3 linked regions of the Arabidopsis thaliana genome follow. The protein of the gene in region 3 interacts with the protein of the main gene of each other region in a pairwise test. Each region holds a gene or a part of one and is shown on either strand. Other genes may lie near its edges.

Region 1 (6,572 bases), on a different chromosome or scaffold from region 3:
CTTTCTGAAACTGATTGTTCGTCGCGTAGAACCCCTCTGTAATAATAATAAGTAAACAAAGATCAAAACTTGATGAAGAAAAGTATACAGAGAACAAAGGAAGACACTTATCAAAGATGGAACTAACTCGATCTGCTTCATTTTCATGAATCATGCACAGTAAAAAAACTGTAAATCTTTGTACCAAGTTCATGTTAACACTTCACAAGTAAACAAATTGAGACAACTTTCTAGAAAAAACACATATTTTCCGAGAAAAATTAGAACAATGTTGTTCTTGGGAAATCTAGTAGCTCGTGAAAAGAGATACCTCGAACTTTAGGAATTCTTGACATGTCCCTGAAATCTGCCTTTGTCTCACCCATCTCTCTCTTTGTTTTTTGCTCTCTCTTCTCTTCTAGTTCAAGGTAGGTTGCGTAAAAATGGCGTTTTGTTCTCCTGTTGATAAATATAGACGAAGCACCATCTTGTGGTACAGACTGTGACGTGGCACGCTCCAGCTGGCTTTTTTTTAACCTTCATAGCATAAGTTTGACTGGTCTTGCCTACGTCACCGACTCTCTCTCTCGGTAAGAAAAAAAACTTGCTTTTACTCTTTTGATTTTTTTTACGGTAGAGAATAAGCTGACGTCACCAGCTCTGTGAGCTATCCCACGCTTTTTTTACTCCTTTCGTTTATATGTAATTATGTACGACAAAAATGACTGCAAAAGTAAAACCGTACCCACACTCTTCACTCTTCATTAATTTTCAAACATTTTTGACAAGACGACGCTGACGTCAGCAATCTTCAAGAGTAAAAAAATTATGAGCTCTCAATTATCTTTTTTTTTTTCATCAAAGATCAAATAAGGTTTCAACCGTCGTTTAGTGTTTATCCAATTATTACGACAACGCTATTAAAAAGTTTGATCCCTACTTACAACAACATATATCTATTAACATGTCCAGGTTACATACTCGTAATCCGGTTTAATAATGGCAAAGATCTATATAGTCTTATCGAATAGCTAGGTTAATGTAAGATTAAATAGAACAAAGAAAGCTGACAACTTTTTCTTTATTGAGATCACGACATATAGAAGCAAGATCGTTCTTAACTAAACCACAAAATGATAAACATAAAGCAGTAGCTGCATCAAAGTTCATAGATAGATAGAGACGCTAGACACAAGTACCATTACGAGACACAAACCAAGGTGTTGTTAAATCAGTAATGGAGGATCCTCTCCTTGACATTAATGGAAGCGTTTTTGCCTGGGATCTTAGGGACGGTGATCCAGAGCACTCCGTTGATAAGCTTCACTTTAGTTTTCTTGACGTCGTAAGCCTCAGGGTTGAAAATCATGGAGCCTCCGTATTTGCGTCCGGCGTTTTCGTACTCAGGCATTGCTGGTTCGTCGGCGAAGAAGTGGACGTTGTTGGCGTCGACCCAGTAGGTGAGATCTGACTCGGGACAACCAGGCATGTCGACTCTCGTCACGCAAGATTTCTTCGTCTCTGTCACCTCGTACACCGCTTGACTCCCACTTTTCTGAAATCGGTTCCTTACTGTACATACATAAGATAAAACAAACACAAATTCGTTATTAGAAAGAGAGATTTGACGTGTAAACTATAAAGGTTTGATTTTTATAAGAAATGACAGTGAAAGATGAAAACTTTACTTGGAGACGGAATTTCGCCGGAACTGCCTGCGTTAACTTCCATGTTCCTACTCATTTGCTCAAAACGATGCTCTTTCTCTTTCTTTTGGAAGGAAACTGAGTGAGCAAAGTCGCTCTACTCCACTTGCTATTTATAGCCGAGGAGGACTATAGGGTTTGGGAAAGGCCTGGAGTGACCTATCATTTGGCCCATTAATCGGCCCAAGGAGTGTTAAAAATTCGAAATTGTTTCTGATTTGGTGAAATTGATCGAAAAGCTCTTCTAGTTGAACTCCATGGAAAGGAGTGATCTTGTAGAGTGTTGACAATTGACATCAATCTGGAGACTTTGACTTCTCTGAACAATTTTTAGCACAACCGGAGTGACCACCTAATATGGGCCTAAGAATCGGCCCATTTAGTTTTGTCGGGGGATGAATTATAAACAATTGACATTTGATGGAAGAAACTAATATTCAATATCAGCTTAGCTTTAGGTAAATTATGCAATGGACCCAATTTGTTTCAATCGGCTTAGAGGAAAAAAAAAGAGTTAAAAGTTTGTGAAAACAAATGACATGAATCATTGGGTACCATAGCAAACACAAGTATGTATATGTTAGTTACTTGTGTATTTGGCCCATACATCGGCCCAATGAGTGTTTGAGCCTTTAAAATTCGAAAACTGCTTTTGATTTGGTGCAGTATATGTTAGTTATTCAGCTTCCATCTAATCTCCTCCATACACATTATAATTTAAGTTGCTCTGAGTTTTATTTGATTCTTACTGAAGATTGGTCCAGAAACTTTCCTAGTACAATGAACTCTTGTTTCAAAACAAAAAAAAACACTGTTTCATTGTGTGGCGATGTAGAATTAGATTGATACAATACAAGTACTTAAGTAAATACTTTGGTTGGTCTACGTTACCTAATAATACAGAGCAGATACAGGGTAATCTCAAGCAAAACATGATACAACTCTAAAGCTTTTGGAAAAACAAGATTAAAAAAAGAAGCTAAGCATTGATGTGGCTTGAAGGAGTTTCAGAGTGTTGTGAGAAGATAGAAGTTCTGCAAGTGGGACAGGAGGAGCGAGTAGAGAGCCATTTGTGGATACACTTAACATGGAAACCATGCTGACATTTCTCCAGCACTTGAATGCTTTCTCCTTGTTCAAATTCCGACAAGCAAATGGCACACTCTGCTTCAGCTCCTGCGAGTTCAAGGTCGGAGGAGTAGACAAGTGTAGGAGTTGTTGGAGTGGATGAAGCAGCTGCTTCAGGGTCAGGCTTGTGGTCGTCTTCAGTCTCGAGGGTTGGTCGGAGAAAGCAACGAATTGCAGCGTAAAGAGAGAGAGCACAAATGAGAGCAGAGATGACAAGGATGAGAAGGACTGATGCATTAGCTGTGAAGTCAGTAGAGTTTGAGTAAGGCTTCCATCTGCAAGTATGAGAGTTACATGTTGGAGTTGCAGCAGAGGACAATGGTGAAGCTGCTTCTGCTACTAGCAAACGCATCTTTTAATGGTTTGAGAGAGAGCCTCGTGAGAAGAGACCTTATAAAGGAGAGGAGTGTAGGGACAATAGTGGCGCTTCCAGTGGAGTCTTGAAGCTGTGAGAGAGTTTGAAGGATTAGGATGGTTTCGTCTCTATTTTGAGGACTGTAACACTCGCTTCTCTCTCTTTTGGTCCACTTCACATTAATGGATATTATTGCGATGGATGAGGGATTGCTTTCTTTGTCCTGTGGCTTATCATCATCCACATGTTTGCCACACGTCGTCCTCACACTACGTTGCCTACATTCTAGGCAAATTGCTCTTTTTTTAATTCGTTTTCATGTTTGAATTTGTCAATATATGGATTTAGATGATAAAAGAGAGAGAAAGACAAGAACAAAATACACTTCATTGTTTCTTTGTCTCTTTTTATATCACTCAAGTTTACATCTTTTTTCTTTAACGATAAAAACAAAAGAAACAAAACCCCAAATTAGAAAAAAGGGTGAAAAGAAAGCTATAACAACAAATCAAAATAGTAAAAAGTAAATAAAAGCTTTAAGCTTTTTGGTACCAATAATTTTTTTTTTTTTAATAAACTTTTTTCCTCTTCTAAAAACTCTCTTCTGCAATCATCTGATCTCCATGGTATAGATTTGTCACTTCTCTAAGCTGCAATTCCTGCAACAACACCATTTTCATATGATATCATCAGATTTTCTACAAATGCTTGAATTCTCGGATAGAAAAAAGGCGTTCATTCATTCATTATTCATACCTCCGTTTGGTTGCCTGTTGATGTATCCAGCTGGTCCTCTAGACATGAAGTCCAATGGTCCCATTCCCAATCCTTCCTCTGCCTTTGCAGGCAGCGAAAGCCACATCGAGTCGCTGTACAGAGAGTCTGCCTCCAAGATGCTTGAGCCGCTGCTGTAACCACCAACATGAACTCCTCTCATTGCTTCTAATCCTACACCTCCTCTCTCACCGTGGTAGCTACTGCGTGCACGTGCAACTGTTCCCCAGTTGTCACCAATGCTGCCTAGTGAAGACATTCCAGAGTTTCCACTGAAGCTGCTTCTTGATATCGGAGAGTTTGACATGTAACCTAGACCACCATTTCCCCATAAATGGTTCTTTGGTGCTGCATTTAGGACAGAACCGTTCCCAACACTAGCTCCTCCCGACTCCATTTGGCTACCGAACCTGCCGAGACTCGCAGCATATCCAGGGCTAAAGGGTCGTCCAAAGCCTCCACTGGAACCAGAACCGTAGTTCTGAGTCTGGTTTGGCTCAAAATTCAGCTCGATTCCGTATCCATGTCCAAACGGTGAGAATCCTCCCCTATTACCTACTGCTGGACTGTACCTAACTTCAGGTTTCACTCCATAACCAGAGATTGGACTCGGGCTGAATCCCTGGGTGTACTCATTCAGTAATGAACTGATTCTACTAGTGCCAAAGCTATTTACATTCATTTGGTTCCGCATTGTGTTGAGAGCCATATCCTTAGGAACAGCCAGTTTGACCTCCACCATCTTACCATTGAGTTCGTGGAATGTCTTCTGCAGTACTTTGTCAACAGCTTCCTCAGAGTCATATGAAATGAACCCAAAGCCTCTAGGCCGCTGGGTTCTGTGGTCATACATCACCACAACATCAGTGATCATCCCAAACTGAGCAAAATACTTTTTGAACTCAGCCTCTGTCACGGATGATGCCAAACCTCCCACAAAGATCTTCTTGGAGTTTGATGGGCCAGGTGATCCCTGAAGGCTGCTGTTACTTTTATTAAATACTACGTGATCATCTCTTGGAACAGCCTTCTTTGCCTCAACCTGTATATCATGGAGAAAATCAACACACGACACAACTCAAAGAAAGCAGTTTTTCATTCATTGTGAACCACTTTCTTTCACATGAGGATATGAAACGATCCAAGTTTTACATTTTTATTTGTGAGTGTGAAATGAACAACTTCTGACAAAGATATGCATTTATCAGAGCGGCAAAGCTGATTGTAAACAATAGAGTCTACTAACTAAAACAGGAAGGAATAAAAGTGAGTAGCTTTGCTTTGCTTTGAGAAGCAGCAACCTCAAAATGAAGCAAGTAAGCAGGAAGATTGTTGAAATTGGAAGCAATGTATGTTGGTATATAGCAGGAGGAAACTTACAATTTTACCATCAATGATATGTTTAAGCAAGACGACTCTTTCAGCAACATTAGGATCAGCAAAGACAACGAAACCAAAGCCACGAGCACGGCCAGTGGCACGATCCTTCATAATAACAGCCTCTAAAACCTCACCAAAACTGTGAAAATAGTCACGAAGACGATCTTCACTGGTTTCCCAAGATATACCACCGATGAAGAGCTTACATGATTCCATTTCCATTTCTGCCAAACAAACAAAAAAAGGTTTGTTTTTGGTTCCAGATTCTATATCGATCTAAGTGAGAAGGAGAATGGAATCGATAGAAACACCTCAAGGGAAGCAAAATAGGATGAAAAAGAGCAGATGGGTCGTGATCGGATTGTGTAAAAACCGATCGACCCACGATCTTGGATTCCTGCAGAAACAAAAAAAAACACAAATGATCAATAAAGGTGTAAGCTTGGAGGAAGGAAGGAATGAAAAACCCAGAAGACAGAGAATCTATGTATGTGTGTAATACCGAAAATAAAGAAACGGAGAAAGAGGAAAAAAAAAAGATTTTAGGATTGAGAAATCTTCAGATTTGGAGAAGGCAAGGTTTTAATAAGAGGGCGAGAGGCCCTCCTCTCTCTTTTCTGCTTATCGTCCAAATTTTTAGTCTTTTCTTTTCTTTTCTTTTTCTGCAATCCAAATCGAATTAAAAGGAACAAAAATGGATGGAAGCAAATAAGCAATGCTCAGCACAAATTTCAGAAAATGGAAAAAAAAACACTCACAAAAAAGAATACTTTCTCTTACGTTTTTGTTTTTATATGGCAATGTTTGGCTATCCTTGTAAGAGACGAGGGTATTTTCGTCACTTCCGTTTCTTCTCTGTAATAAGTAATTAATTTATTAATAACCAATGCGTGCACCTTTTTACCCATAAGTTAAAGAATAAAATCTATCGTTAATAAAAAATGGCTAATTGGCTTAAGTTGATCATGATTTCTTCCTAGTTCTAGATTTTAGTTGATCATCATAACTTTAATTTGAAGAGAGGTCTATGTTTTTTAAATGGTTCGTTAATCAGATGATTATGAAAGATGCAACATGTGACAATTATTTGATTGCATGAAATTTTAAGATTAAAATGAAAATGGCATGAAACTCTAATTAGAGCTTTTGGGGAATCAAAGTGGGCAGGAACATGGGGAATGGTTGATGACGACGATAAAGATTGCCATCCCACAGTTTTTTTTTTAATTATGTCCCTTCATTTTGCTTTC
Region 2 (8,263 bases), on a different chromosome or scaffold from region 3:
GCCACTTAAGCAATTGCTGATTATTGATAAGTTGTCATAACACAACGTATAACTCCATGCATTTTTCCTTTTTGTTTTCAAGAATTACACTGTGACTTAAAGTTAGAAAGATTCAGTCCCTCACAGGATAGTGACATTTAAACATCGCCAACCCTTTTTTGGATGGAGCATGTGTTGGTTTGAGACTGCTAGTAATTTCCATATCTCATTGGCATCATTTTTTGTTGTCAATCTTTTCAGAGTGTGAAGTTATATTACAAAACTGTTGAAGATCCGAAAGGCGTTGAAAGTACTACTATCCAATCAGTGGGAGAGAGCTAAGTGAGAGCATGTAGTGGCTCGCTTCAGCTGTATAGGATTCACACTGTATACTATATACAAGAGACAAGCATCCATTGTAATTATTTTATAGTGATCTGTGGTTCAGTCGTGTAAACTTAAACGTAGACATGGTATCAAAAGGGGACAAGATGGTTGGAATTTATCACAATGCGTATAGATGAAATTTGAACATTATACTCTCACTGCATGCTCAGGGAGACCTTGCAGGGAATGTTATTTTTGGCTAACAGGGACCGTTACACCTCGGACCTCGCCTCTCGGTTGGCTAGTTTCAGCATTATTTGCATCTGTGAGCTTTTCAGGAGAACAGCTGCGGGAGAAGTAAGTTATCTCAATCCTTAAGCTTTCGTTTGTTTTGGAACCTTTGCACGCAGTTCTTATTTTTACGTACTAAGTTTCTACATAATCTTAGATCAATTTGGAGACAACAATCTTAATCCCTGATCATTCACCGTTTTTCTTTTCCATTAGATTTTCTTGATGCTGGATATGTTACTTGTGAAGTATATACAACTTTCTTTAGCGTCATGAGATAGGAAAGAAATGGCTTATTATTGCTTGAAGCTTACTGAGTCTACTTATACAGCAATCCTTGTGGAAAAGTAACTTCAAATGACTAAAACAGTTATTTACACCCGATGAATTTTGTTTTGAATACTGTCAGGTTTCTGGTAGTAGATGATAGTGCCTTGTTCTTCCCGCTGCTACCGCCGAGGATACGCAGACTCTGTCTCAGTAAGTCAATCTCTCTTTCCTTCCCATTTTGTTGTTTCTCCATCAAATTTATTCTCCCTTTCAGTGTCTCAATGGTTTCTCCCCTAGCTTTAACTTCCTTTCTGAGTTCTTGCACTGCCTTTGCAACTTCTTCTTGCGGTTTCTGTCTCAGTGCCTCTCCTACAAAAGAAAAAAAAAACTCATTACCTTCCTTTCTCAAAACATCAAAGATGAGATTATTTGTGAAAGGTCTTACCATATGTTGTGTGGATGAGATCATCAAGCTCATTCTTGATAGCAAAGTAGAGCTGCTTCCACCTCTCCACAGCTTCTTCCCTCACTGCTCTCTCTAAACACATCTGTTCCACGACCCATTCCCACTCGTGTTGTTTCGCCTTTCCTTCTTCCTTCTCTTCCATCTTCTGTCTCAGCCTCTTCACTTCCTCTCTCAGTCTCTTCCTCTCTTTCCTCCACTCTGTCTCTGCCATCTTCAACGCCAAAATCACTCTCTCTTTCTCATCAAGCTCTCTTCTTGTTTCTCTCCTTCTCTGTTCATTTGCTTTCACCTTGATGCGTCTCTTACTACTGTTTCTCTCATCCTTGCTTGTAGAACCACCCATGAAGAAAAGCTCTCTTTCTCTCTCTATCTCTGTAGAACTTTTGTTCTATTTTGAATGTCTTGTTTGTTTCATTCAATGAAAAAAAAAAATGATTATTGTGAGTGAAGAAAGCTCCACTTTGCGGCATTGCAGACACATGTTATTTATATAATATGGTCCAAACCAAAAGCATCTTCACTTATCCTAAACACACAATAGGAAAATTATGGAATGTCTTATCACAAAACTAATCACACAAACACACATTGTGGCTTGAGTTGATTATTTCTTATGGAAACTGAGATAAAAAGACAAAAGAAGTTATGGGCACTCTCAGGACATAGTACTGAATAGGAAACAAGAGAAAAAGGAATTGAAGTGGTGTTACAGAATATGAAAAGCAGTGTTTTTTCTTCAATCTCCAATTAATGGTGTGGGCTTTGATTGTTTGTCACATGCATCATTAACATGGACCCATACCTATTTACTCCTATTTTTTCTTCCCAATATTTGTAGGTTTTATAGGTTTCTCTCAAACTTTTGGTCTAATTTGTCTTCTTCTCATGGAGGAAATTGTTACATAGGTCTTAAGTTATTGTCTGTGTTTTTATAGACCGAATCAAACATAGCAAACCAAAATTTGAGTATGTTACGTGAAGACAATGGGTAGATTTATCTTGAAGTTCGAATTTTGGTTTGCTTTATTTCCGTTAAACGTCAATAGTTAAACTTCATGAGTATGCTTTAGCTTTGGATCCTTAGTTCCTTACAATACTCACTTGTGATTTAAGTATGATAAGTGAGTATACCAAACTTTGGTGGTACAATGGTCAACGAATAATAGAGTGAAAGAAGACAAAGAAACAAGAAGAAGAGACATATATCTAATCACAATTGACATCGTAGAGTTTAGGATAGCTATAAAGTGAAAGATAGACTCCTACATGGCTACATCAATCAGAAACATTGCCCTCTTCACGTGAACTTCCCTGTTAATTTGGGTTTTTGTCTTAACCCTTTTCATATCTTAAAGAGTCGTACTTTCTAAATAAACAACCAAAATTCCGTTATTGGCTTTTGTCTTTGTACAATCTCTTTACGACACTGCCTACTAAGACCAGCTCAGAAGCTTATCAAGGTTAGATTCTGACCGCAACCTTCCAAAACTGCACTATGATTCTGATCCAATTTGTATTCCACCAAGCAAGTAACAATATATACACACACAGTACAAACTTACAAGCATCTTTTTGTATGTTTTTGTAACATTTTTAATACAATCATATGATACATGCACCAACCACATCAAATCATATAATCTCACATATATGCATTATTATGCCCTCAAATTCACTTAATTTTCACCTTAAACTCATCATGGACCACTGGTTCATACCCACTGATGACGGAAGTGCTGGCCGGATTATGGGCACACGTTTCACTACCGAGATTGCTTCGTTCCACCGAGCAGCATGATTCGCCACCTTCTGAAAAAAGTATTTCATTCAAAAGACAGACAATACAAGAATCAGATGGTGTAAAAATCTTCCGAATTGTGTTCTGAAATACTTAGAACTTTTGTTCTTCATTGCCATGAGTGAAAAAGATGAATACAAGTCAAGCAAGAACGTGAATTTCAGCAGCAAAAGACATATTTGATCCGCCAAGTTATATGCAACCGTAAGCAGGATTCAAACTTGGGTCCTTACTGAGGCTTTGTACCAGTGGAAGATCAGTTAAACTAAACTTTCAGGTTTTACCACTACTTTTATCCATTCCTCAAAGAAACATTTTACGATAAGATTCGTAATATATAGTAACTTCCATCTCTGGCTACCAACATGAAAAATCTACAAAGAATAACTACTGAAAACTAGTCTAAAGATCTTTCAACTATCCTTTAGCTATTAGAAAGAACATGCAAACTCAAAATGTAAAAATAAAAAATATGTTGTTTAAGCATTATAGGAGATGAAACAACAGAGAGGACGGACAAAGAAATAGATCACCCAGGTGGTATTCTAACGACTATTAACACTGCTCTCACCAACTACACATTCTATGCCAAAAGTATCTATCAAGAACTCAACCGATGCAGTGGTGCTATATCAAAAACCCTTAGCAAGATAGTGTAAATGGGTACGAGTGTATGCCTGTTGGTGAATACTATGACCTCGAGTCGCTGGTTGCATCTAAACTACTTAGCAACAAGAAACTGGTCCCAGGACAAACAAGGGGATGATCTGATCTTCTCATTTTCCCCATCAAAACAACAATTGACACTAATAAAACATCTAACTAAGCAGTAAAAGTTGAACTAAGCAGAGCTCATATCACACCAAAAGATCATACAGTAACCACATGACTCATGAATCAACATACTCAAAGAACAATAAACAATCAAATAAACCAAGCTAGTTACCTTATCATCCAAAAGAACCTTAAGCTGCAAGGAACGAGTCTTCTTCTTCATATTGTACAATCTACGCCCTAACATAACAAAACCCACAAATGCTGCAGCCATGGACAAAGACCAAATAGGATTAATTTTCAACACACAATACTTCAACACCTCTATTGGAATTTTCCACCACACAAACCCTTTCTCTTCTCCTCCTCCACCACCAGATTTAACACCAGGATCAATAGAAACAGAGTTTCCTTCTCCTTCCACTGGATGAAGTAAAGATTCTTCCTTTCTCTCATCAGAGCTTATCAAATCCATGTCTTGAGCTATACTTTCACTATATTCAACAATACCCACTTCGTTTCTCTCTATACCCATCTCGTTATTCACATCATCATCCACTAACCTCTGATCATCAAGCCGATCACTGCTTGAATCAGACCATAACTCACTAAAATGCTTCGGACCATAAGGAACATCGGAGCTAGGTTCGATCCATCCTGGACTACCCGATTGAACAGACCCATCTTCATCGTTTGCCTCCAAACGAGACAAACCACTCTGGTTCTCAAGAGAGAAATGATCAAACCTAATCATACCTTGCGTGCCATCATCAATCTCCTCCAAGCTCCTCGAATTGTCATCTTCCGTGGTAGATCTCGAGCTCTGAAGTATTTCCCAGTCTTGAATCTCTCCTTCCATGTCAAAGTTAGGGGTTTTTTCGATCCAATTGAGGAAAAGAAACAAAAGGAGTCTTTGTGTTGGGGCGAAAACAGAACCGAAACGCTTCTTTCTCTGTGTGGAGATCACAGAAACACTAGGTCGTGGTGTTAACGTGGCGTGGTGTGATTGGATAGAGGATGAAGTCAAAAGAGTGGTTTCGTTGACGTGTGGGTTTATGATAACTATATGGATTGACAGTGTATGTTGTTACGGTGGGCCGAGAAGTAGAGGACCTTCAACCGCTTTTGCTAATCAGATATGCTCAACTTGAAACTGGAGGGAGAGGAAGCAAACACGTCATATAAATGCATTTTGTGAAGAACATCATAATTTATTGATACCGAACCAAATCCAATAGAATGTATTTTTACTTTTTACTATTTTACTTTTCGTTTTTTTACTTGTTTTTTCTCGTTCAAATTAGGTGATCGATGAATTGATAATTTAATTGTAATCCGCGTAATTCATATTCCTTCGGTTCTATTTTGTTGATTTTGAAGAAAAAAAAAATTGTTTCAAAAAAATTGATTTTTTAAAATTTTTATGTAATATTTATTAGTTTTTATTAATGAATTGTAAACTTTAATAAAAATAATTAAATTTTATTGGTTTAAAGTGATAGAAAATTGTAAAACACAAAATATAATATATTTAAAATCAACTTTAATATATTTACTTTTGTGTGTTTTTTTCTAACAATCAAACAAAAAAAACAGAGAAAATATTTATTTATTTTTGCTAAGAAACATAGGAAATATTTAATATTAATCGAAACCCAACTTTTTTTTCAATAAATGTTTAGCGTTAATATCATAGTTTAACAAACATTCTTTTTTATAACTCAAAATTTTAGAGTTTAGTCATTAAACCAAGATGTGGAGATTTTATAAAGGTTGAGGTAGGGAGGAGAAGAAAGTTAAGAGGCTCATGGATGGTGGCTTGCAGAGATTTGGGAGTTTTTGAGAGAGTTGATGACGTGGCAACTTGAGAACACATTTGTTAAAAGGCTGAGGTGGGTAGTGTGAGAGGCCTCAAATAACTTTTTTTTTATTAGTAAGAGATTCTGAAAAGAGGTTACCGATATCTAATGAATTGCTATCGAATGTTGAAATCTCATGAAATTTGGCTACACTACATACATACGACTATAAGGCAAGTAACAAAGACTGCTAGGGACTGACAAAGTGACAAGTGACATCTTTATGCTTAGCCTCCTTTTCCTTTCTACCATAGTTGAACATCAAGCACATTATTTCCATCTCAAAACCGGCCCAGAGAATATAATATGACACGATGCAACAACAGAACTTGGCCAGGGGAATTATACACCCCCTCCTACATACCACAAGACAGGAATTATACACCCCCTCCCACATACCACAATACAACACACATTCAGAGACCACGAGATGGTGAATTTACAAGAAATCAACATGGAACAAGATACCATATCCATATAAATCATTGACTGATGTATCTGAGTTACATGGAAGATACAAGAGACTATTTCTCTTAGGCCATTAAATTGTTGGTAGGAATATGTGCTTCAGTATGAGTTCCCTAGTTCACTTAATCACTAGTGGAAAGTTACAGCTTACATGAGGATTTCATCTCTCACCGGGAAGTTTCTCTAGACCCGGTGAGTCACATGAATATCAACACAATGAAACACATCAACACATATTTCAGAGACCTCAGATGTTGAAATTACAAGCAATCACAATGGAATATGGTACCAAATGAATCAATTAGTTTCTATCTTAAGCCAATATCAATAACTTTCACATTCTTCACATACAAATTCACAACATTCTTCACATACAAAGACTCTAATTTTCAGTTACTAAAATACCAAAACACTAAAGAAAATTAGGTTTCAATCTCCAAAAAACATCATCATCTCCAGAACCAAGGAAAAAAAAAACATTCTAAATTTGAGCCAAAAAAAACAATCAGACAAAGCACAATAACACACAAATCAAATGTTTTAGTAATCCAAATGAAGAAAAACATTGTTACATACCACAAACATAAAAATCCCAGAACTTATTACACACTTACTACATAGGTTTCTCCACAAATTACATCAAGTTTAGGAAAAAAAACTGAAATCTTAAAGAGGAAACTTAACCGGATTTAGTTGATATCGGTGTCATCGAAATCATCATCGAATTTGTTGAAGAAATCGGCGTCGGCGAGCTTGTTATCTGAGACAAGTCCTCCTTCGTTGAGTATCTCCATGGCTTCGAGGTCATCAACGTCCATGGCCATCGAAGAACCTGCATCATCCATCTCCGATAACATATCCAGCTGCATCGGCCTCATTTCTCTCTTCGTCTCTTCTTCGTTTTCTTCTTCGGGAAAGATCTAAAATGTTACAGTGACTGACTGTCGAAGTTTTGATGTTGAGGTCATTTTCTTTTAGGCCTAAATGTTGTGGCCCATCTTTATCTTCTTAGGCCCAATTGATGTGGCCCATGTTAATTTTAATCGTTCATTTTTCGTAGTGATTTTTAGCTGAATCTGTGGATTTTTTTTTTTTTTTTTAAGATACATCAGTTGAGGAATTGGCTGAAAAGTGGAACTAGAGGAATTTTTAGAATTTTTTTTTATTAATACCATGTTTATATCCTCTATTAAACAAATTTGATTAATGCAATTTTAAAAGCTACAAAAAAAAACTCAAATTATTTATATATAATTCTGTTGTCTGTAAAATTATAAAATAATATCAAGATAGAATAGTTTTCTAGTTGACGAAAAAAAATTAGGTTTCTAGTTAATAAAAATTAGAAAAAACTATCAAAGTTAAAATGTAAAATCAAAGTAATAGTTTTTTACTATTAAATTTTCATTAGTTAGGTCAAAATCAAATTTAGGATTGGGTGATTTAATCCCAGTTAATTCTGACTACAAAATGGTTAATTAATATATATAATTCAGTAGTTGATATGTTTCTGCATACATTGAAATAAATTAAACTATCACAATCGAAAGTCGTAAAATACGATTGATGGATGCGATTATTCTCTCTCGTTAATCACGAAGATAAATCTATTTGTTTCACTTTTACGGAAAGGGCAACGAGTTAATTTGTACATGGTTGTGTTAGTCATATTTAATATGGGCTGGTTTTACTCTTTTTGTTTGCCAATGAGCTAGTTTTCCATTTGTTACAAATTTTTTTTTTTTTTTTCTGCTAAGAATGTAAATATTTCATTGAAAAATGAAAAAGGTTTAGGAGATACAATTAAGTAAATCCTACAATTTTGGTCTCATGGCAAAAAAAGGATAAAAAACATGGAAGCAAAGAACAATCAGTCCATCGACATCAACAAAAGAAATTACTCTTTTGGAATCAATGAAGTGATAAACCGATTCTAAATATTAACTTAAAAGACACCTTAAGGAACAAGAAACGAGCTACCAAACGGCAAAGACCGAATCAACAAAAAACCTAGCGATGGAAGCCTTTCAA
Region 3 (7,848 bases):
TCATGATTGGCATCTTGATAGATTTGTCTCAGAGGAAGATGGTTATAAGTATAGAATCCAAGATGGTTGGTCCTCACCGTCTTTATCTTTGAGAGATTCTTGGTATACCAAAGAAGCAAAAGGTGATTTCCGGAGAGATGATACCAGAGACTTCAGAACACCTGAAGCATATGACAGCCAGAATAACCATTTTCATAAGGCTGCACCGAGAGATGGCTGGACGCAGAATCTTGGTCGTAGCCATAATGTGAGCGTAAAAGATAGACTACAGTATGATGCTGATTGGGTTGGTCCTGATAGAGGAAGATATAATATGGCAGATGACATGCAATGTTCAATGAGAGAAGTTTCTAATTCTGAGCATCCATCATATACTGATGAGATATTTGTCCGCGACATAAGAGTACCGACACATAATCGGATGGCGACCAAACAAAGGTTTGGATATTTACAGAGCCATATTCATGAAAATGATGAAAGACATCACAGATCCAAGAAGCTGAGAGGAGATGGGCATGCTTTCATCAAGCGTCAGGATCATGTTGACTTAGCTGGTAGGCAAGGAAAGGTAAAGATTGGGAAACTAAATCTACATGCTTTTAAACCTATATTTGAATGAAGTATAAACGCCTTTCAGTTATTTATATCCCTGGATTTTCTTTGTGTTATTTCTGACTGTTTTATCACTTTATATGGTCTGTCTTCTATACTTAGGTTTTATGTTGCTCACATCCGTATATTTAGACATCAGTTAGTGTACAATGAAGAACAAGACCCTTCTCATGTGATAGATATTTTGTGTGTGTGTTTCAGGTCTCTAACCAATCAAAAAAAAGATTCTCCAATGGCGGAGATACAATCGAGCAACAAGATGTTCAGAAACCAAGAAAGTTAATGGGCAAAAGCGAAGAGAAAGCTATGCAGAATCGAGATATAAATGACAAAGAAGAAGGCGAGATAATAGAAGAAGTGAAAGGTGTTGAAATAGACAATGAACGTATACAAGAGAGTCTGAAAAAGATGGAGAAACGGAGGGAGAGGTTCAAGGGAACCAAATTGGCGGTAGAAGCGACATTCAAATCTCAAACTGAACTGAGAGCTAAAGCCGATGTTACTAATCAACAGAGGCCAGTTAGAAAGAGGAGATGGTGTGCAAGTTAAAAAGATCATATTGGATGGCTTGTTTCAGGTTAACACAATAACGGTTTATTGATGGTAGGCTATATCTAAACCGATCAATTAAAAAGTGGCTAAGAAAATCACAAAACCGAACAATTGACTGTGACCTGGGTTTTTTTAAGTGATCTTGCTTGTGCATTTTTTTTTTCCCTTTTGTAAGTGTTTACGTAGAAAATTTGACTTTTTTACCAATGCTTATTTATATTTACAGTTTAGTATGTGTAATGCAAAATCAAATGATGCAGCGAAGGATCAAACCAGTGACAATTAGGGCGGAAACCGTATGATTAACGTGATAACCACTAGACCATAGTAAAATTACTTTCTTTTGAATTTAGAATCATTTTCTTGGGTCAAATAGATAACCAGATAATTTCATGAGAAAACCAGACCGAACTATACGATTTTTCAAAAATGATCAACTTTTGTATTTTTGTTTGTGGAATAATATTCGTCGGATATTGGTGAGGTGGACTCGTAGCCGTCGGATAAACACGCGGCTGATCTGAAGCGTCTCTGCAAAAGAGAAAAGAGAGCAGAGAATTCAAACCAGTTTCCATCGACGCAACGACCAATCTCCACGATTCCTCTCTTCTCTCTAACTTCCAGGTACGTTTTTCGAGAACCCAATGAAGCAATCAAAGTCCTTGGAATTCATTTGATTTTACTTTCAGGTCTTTGGATTTCTATAGAAAGAAAGATCTGTTTATTATTTGATTGGAACATGATAAGCTGCTCCGTTTCTCATATCCACTTTTGTTCAATTTATTTCAATTTGATCGATAATTGGAAAAGTACTGGATCTGGTGTATCGGAAGTTACCGGTCAAGCTATGTATGAACCCTTGTGATATTTTCACATGCGTTTATTCATTCAAATATGCTAGATTTTTAATCTGGTCAATACGTGATATCAGGGTTTCTTCAGTTGGGTAACAACTTAATCTTATTGCAGTTTTGATTTTACCAACTTGAAATTGAATTATAGTCTTACAGATACGAATTTGGAGTTTTTGTGTAGTGTATACTTGTTTTCTGGATTGCTTGTCACTTACTGTTGATTTATGGTTTGCAGAGACAAGTTGTATCCCTCGTTTGCTTTCTGCGAAACTAAGGTGCAATGGCGAAGATAAAACCGCAGGCTCTTCTAAATCAAAGCAAGAAGAAGAAGGGTCCAAGTCGCATAAGTATTTCCACTATTATTGTCTGTAATCTTGTAGTTGCTGTAGTCATATTATCGTTGGTCACAACCTATCGCCATTGGTCCCAAAGGTTTGTTTTCATCTTTGAATTGTTCCTTTTTCATTACTTCTGTTATAGTAGATTCTCCTTTTACTTTATGTGATTATCTATAAACTAAAAAGGATATCATTGGTTATATCTCCTAGGTCAAGAAACACAATTGAACATGAAACTCGGAGTCAGAGATTTGAGGTATTTTCTTGAGAGATTTTTTAATGTATAGCTTTTGAGTTTTGATCCTGATGAACTTCCGAGCACTTAGGTTTAGAGTTTAGGGTATTTACCATATGTGATCTGGCTTTGGTTTCTGCTTCAGGACACTAATACTGCGTCAGGGCAAAAAACTTACGATCTTCCTGGTTTTGCTGTAAGTTAATCTCCCTGTTTGCTTGCTTAAGTTTCTTGTTTTAATCCTTGTTCTTATTTCTCATCATGGTATTATGTTCTGTTCATCAGTTTTTGAAGTAAAAAAAATGTGATGTGTCTTATCTGAATATTGATTTTAATGATATCTTGCTTCTATTTTCCTATCTCATGTAGGATATAAACACATCAAAAGGACTTATAACTGTCGAACTCTTCAAAGAAGGTTCCCCTGAAGTTGTGGACAAGTTTCTAGATCTATGGTTAGTATTGGAATTCGTTTGTTTTCCTTTAAGTTAGATAGAAAAAGAACAGTAGAGTAATTTGATTAAGCTAGGTCATGACTTGTTCTTAAATAGGAGTATTACTTCTAGCTTGATAGGATTCAAGTAGCTTTAGTTTCTTGATTGACTGATTTTGATCCTTAAGTCCTCTTGTACTCTTCTTGGAATTTTTGTTTGGAACATGAAACCTCATTAAAGAGAAATGGGCTGAATCAGTCTGTGACGATATTGTAGCTTAATATAATAGTAGAAGTTGAACATTGAGTATTGTTGCAGTCAAAAAGATCACTTCAAGGGAATGCCGTTTCAGCGGGTTATAAAGAACTACTTGGTACAAGCTGGTCACTCACCGAGCTCTATACCTGTAGAAGAATGGACAGCTAAAGGAAAGCTCAGAGGTCGCCTTCACATTGGGTATAACTTGCTTGCTCTGCTTTTGGCTTTTAAGTGTCAATGTTTATCATCTCTCGCTGGTTTTAAAAAATAAAAAACTACATATGTTCTGTTACAGCCCAAAACATGAGGCATTCATGTTGGGAACACCAAAAAACAAAGGGAACAACAAGGATTTTGAGCTTCTGATCACAACGGCCCCAATCCCGGATCTGAATGATCAACTTATAGTGTTTGGAAGAGTCCTTAAGGGAGAGGATGTAGTACAGGTTTGATCCAACTAAGCACAGTCTATCAGCTTGAATGGTTTGTTTAATAGTTTCATGTGTTAAAAGATTAAATCATATTATTACAGGAGATCGAAGAAGTGGATACGGATGAGCATTTCCAACCGAAATCGCCAATAGGGATCACTGGTGTTGTACTGAAACTAGAGACATGAAATGAAAATTTCTCTTCCTTGCTTCCTCTGTAAATGAGGCTCACGCCAAATCCTTCTTCATACTCGCTCTTTTGTATAAATCCTCTTTTGAGGTTTTTTCTTTCTTTCTATTTTACAGTTTCTTGTTGTTTTGTAATTTTATTTGATTTTTCTCGAGGAAATAGAATCTTTGTTTAATTATGCTTCTGATACTTGAGCAAATACATGAACTGATTTTAGAGAATTTTATCCTGTTATGATAGAAAAACTTCTGTATTATACCCGTTAAGTACCATAAAACTATTAGAGAAAAAGAGAGGTCTTTTAAAATTTATATGAGAAGATATGGAGAACAATCTGAAAAACCAGAAACAAATCCTTTAAGAATTCTTAAAAATCTCTACAAGATTTCTTTTAAAAACTCTAAAATAATTCTTAAACAATTCTTAAGGAATTCTTAAATTATTCATAGAATACAATTACAAAAATACTGTATTTTTGTTTTAGGTAATATTTAATAATTTGGAATAAGATATATAGGACATACATCAAATTATGTATTTTGATACTATTTTGACTAAAACTTAAAAATGTTAAAAACACATTTATAAATATGTTAATTAGTTGGTGTACTCTTATGTATTTTTTTCTAATTAAAGATAAATATCTAGAGTGTGTAGACAAAATCTATAATAATATAAGAGAAAAAAAAACAAATAACGCTTTAAAATTTCATATCGTAATCATTATCAATTTTGTAGAGTAGGAGATATTGTTATAATTCATTGTTTTTGAAAAGAGAAAATCTTCATAGTAATATTTGGCAACCGAAAGTTACAAACCATCGATCATCAAGAGGAAGATACAATCAATAAACCTGTACCAACCATCTGCTACATCTCTACCATATAAATCTATAACGACTAATACAAAATGAAAGTTCCAAATCGGTGTTGTTACTGTTGCCTTCTCATTTGCATAACTGCTAATTATCATTAGAGAGAAACATGAGAGAAGACGAAGCCTGCATATGACTAATGTTACTTTGGATCCCACAGCTTATTTTCTTAATCTTAGCCTCAAATTCCTTGAGTTCCTCAAGCGTAAGCTCCTCAATGGGCTTATTGAACTTATCCTGTTCAGCAGATTCAAGCCACTTGTGAAGATCTTCACCATGTTTCTTCTCAGCTTCAGCTTCTTCAGTAATCGAGTTGAGGCGTTTACATATCTTCTTCTCCTGTCTAGCTCTATTGCCTCTACTATAGCCTGATGTTTCACAGCTATCTCCTTCTTCTTCTTCTTCGAATTCATTCTTAAACCGTTCTGCAATCACATCAAAATTCGGTTTCCCGAAGGAATACGGTTTGTTTCCTGGAGAAAAGACAACAATACCAACCTCCGCGTTGCACAGAGTCGCAAGCTCGCTCGCTTTCTTGAACAAACCCAGCCTACGTTTTGAGAAGGTAACTTGCTTCGTGTTTGTGTCTTGCACTTTCTCCATCTTAATCTTTCTCCTACCCATTTCTTTTTTTTTGTGTGAAATGTTTTGAGTGATTGTAATCTATGTTTGTGTATATAAGAAGAAGATTGTATTTCTTTATGTATTTATAGTAATGAATGTGGAGAAAGTTGTTATTGAACCTCATCATCATATATGTATATTTTTAGTAAACTTTTGTTTTTGCATATATATACATATTTAGTAACTCCACTTTGAAAATCTTGCATTACCTTATGAGAGCATTGAATATTTTCCATGTATTTAATCAATATTCATAGATATTTAACTATTATTAGTATTATCTTACTATTAGACCTCTTATTAAATGGTAGTTTGAATTACAAGGAGAACTTTACCAAGTTAATAAACAAAATTTCTTCTTTACCAAAATAGTTTATTTCCACCCAACAAACAATAATAGTAGTTTGACAAATAATAAACACATATTAAAAAAATATTAACTTCTATGTATTATAGTAATAATCTTACGTGTCATATTTTTTTTTTAAATAGTATTATTTCTGGGTATAATTAATCATAAACATCTATGTACATTTAAAATTAAACCATTATTTATATTCAATAAAAATATAATCTGCAATGCGTTTAACCCATTAAGCCTTTTTTTTTGTTAGGTATAATTAAATCGAAACTCTATAAGTCTCTAAATCTATTACGTGGGTCAATTGACTTTTTGCAAAATTAGTTAGACTTCTATATATAAAAGTTGACTCTTGTCCACTAAGACAATTGACACCTGTAAAATTTTTATGGTATTGAACCCAATTAAATTTATTTTAAGTAAGTATGTTATATATAATGAAGTCCATTAATATAAATTATCTTAAATATCTTAATACTTGTTTGTCCATATCCTAAAAAAGTAAAAACGGTTTGGCTTCTTCTTTTTCGTTATTTCTTTTATTTTAGATCGTAGAGCTTTAAAATTAGAATTTCAGTAAAAACAAATTATGACTCCGATGGAGTAATTTTCTGGCTCTTACAGAGAGAACAAGCGTGGACTATTAATTGAAAAGCACAGAACAACCGCTGCTTATCTGTTCCATAACACAAAACAAACAAATAGATGTTATAAATGAAATTCAATCAATGAAAATTAATCACTCTATCTGTTTCAAAATATTATTATATGTCTTAGATAAAAGCACAAAGTTCAAGAATCTAACTAATTTTTTTGTTATATTTTTTACATTAAAAACATAACTTAATATTTAATTATAGATAATCTAGCCAATGGTGAAATTTAATGTAGAATATACATAGTCACAAATTTGAATGAATTTAATTTTTGTCATAGAAATCTAAATGTTTTTCTAAAATATCTTATCATATAAAACAGAGGGAGTAAATACATTAAGTTTTCAAGCCAAAAAAAAAAAAGAAAAAAAAAACTTACAAGGAGGTAGATATCAATTATGTAGATCAAAGAATAAGCCGTCCAAAGTCCAGCGTTGATGAAACTAACTAACGACAGCCAAAACGGCATGTACTTGAAGGTCTTACTCTCCAGCATTTTTTTCTAATTGTTGCACGAATTACAAACAAAAAAAACTAATCAAAACCGCTAATTAATACTTAACCATCAATGAGAGTGAGAGTGAGAGTGAGAGTGAAAGCTTTACCTTGGCAAATGAAACATAGATACAAATGTTGAAAATGTTGCAAACAATCCCAATGAGTGTATACTTGGCGAATAAACTTTGAATTGCCCAAATAGTAATCACATAGAACGATGTCACAAAATCAAACACAGCCAGAAGACATAGATTAACATTTCTCTTCTGCACATCAACATCAACATCATCAAAATCAATATGCAGAATTAGACATATCTAAGTATAAAAGATGGACCTACACGTGATTCGTCTTCACAGCAGATCCAAAAGACAACCACAAAGATTACTTCGTTAACGAAACCAATACTATTACTAGTGGTGACGAGAATACTGTCCTTGTGAACAACAGGGAGACCATACAAAACCCACAAACTACATTGAATCAACAGCACTAAATGAGGAGCAATTTGAACTCCCTCCACTGATTTCTTCTTGCATGTTTGTATAACCGTTGGCCTGTATATATATATAATGAAAAATGCTTTCACTCTTGACTACAATAATCCTTCTTCTTTTTTTTTTGGTCAGAAAACAACAAATTACTTATATAAAAGTCTGAAAACAGTAATACTTATATAAATCTGAGGAGTAATGATCCTAGCTAGAAACCACTAAAACAAGACAGATTACATGCACTATATTTAAACCTTGAAAATATAGTTGACAAATTACTAGAGAAGAAATAATTTTAAAAAACGTTCGAAATAGAGAACATACGTAAACACAAACATACACAAAACGAATGTGAAAATAGAAAAGAAAAAGCAAGAGAAAGAAGAACAGGGATTATTACATATGTGAGAGCGAAATCAAAGTGGATAGAACATTC

What was found.
Region 1: the proteins of AT3G66654 (region 3) and AT5G47610 interact in a protein complementation assay, tested with the Arabidopsis thaliana proteins (one large-scale study listed by BioGRID).
Region 2: the proteins of AT3G66654 (region 3) and AT4G13530 interact in a protein complementation assay, tested with the Arabidopsis thaliana proteins (one large-scale study listed by BioGRID).

Annotation. Positions count from the first base shown.
Region 1 is NC_003076.8:19,298,735-19,305,306, forward strand, and holds AT5G47610 (RING/U-box superfamily protein), read right to left. Parts: upstream 3,384-6,572; 5' UTR 3,166-3,383; coding exon 2,665-3,165; 3' UTR 2,396-2,664; downstream 1-2,395. Other genes in the region: AT5G47590 (Heat shock protein HSP20/alpha crystallin family), read right to left, coding at 1-36, 311-365; AT5G47600 (HSP20-like chaperones superfamily protein), read right to left, coding at 1,211-1,551, 1,668-1,722; AT5G47620 (RNA-binding (RRM/RBD/RNP motifs) family protein), read right to left, coding at 3,814-3,827, 3,925-4,984, 5,122-5,187, 5,323-5,544.
Region 2 is NC_003075.7:7,863,309-7,871,571, reverse strand, and holds AT4G13530 (uncharacterized protein), read right to left. Parts: upstream 5,245-8,263; 5' UTR 4,765-5,244; coding exon 4,078-4,764; intron 3,143-4,077; coding exon 3,017-3,142; 3' UTR 2,396-3,016; downstream 1-2,395. Other genes in the region: AT4G13550 (putative triglyceride lipase), read left to right, coding at 241-321; AT4G13540 (golgin family A protein), read right to left, coding at 968-1,236, 1,313-1,676; SMAP1 (small acidic protein 1), read right to left, coding at 6,922-7,110.
Region 3 is NC_003074.8:2,086,396-2,094,243, forward strand, and holds AT3G66654 (Cyclophilin-like peptidyl-prolyl cis-trans isomerase family protein), read left to right. Parts: upstream 1-1,520; 5' UTR 1,521-1,788; exon of another isoform or gene 1,789-2,253; 5' UTR 2,254-2,298; coding exon 2,299-2,450; intron 2,451-2,566; coding exon 2,567-2,612; intron 2,613-2,736; coding exon 2,737-2,787; intron 2,788-2,960; coding exon 2,961-3,046; intron 3,047-3,343; coding exon 3,344-3,481; intron 3,482-3,578; coding exon 3,579-3,729; intron 3,730-3,815; coding exon 3,816-3,902; 3' UTR 3,903-4,146; downstream 4,147-7,848. Other genes in the region: AT3G66652 (fip1 motif-containing protein), read left to right, coding at 1-568, 814-1,161; AGL91 (AGAMOUS-like 91), read right to left, coding at 4,867-5,403. UniProt on the Arabidopsis thaliana protein: PPIases accelerate the folding of proteins. It catalyzes the cis-trans isomerization of proline imidic peptide bonds in oligopeptides.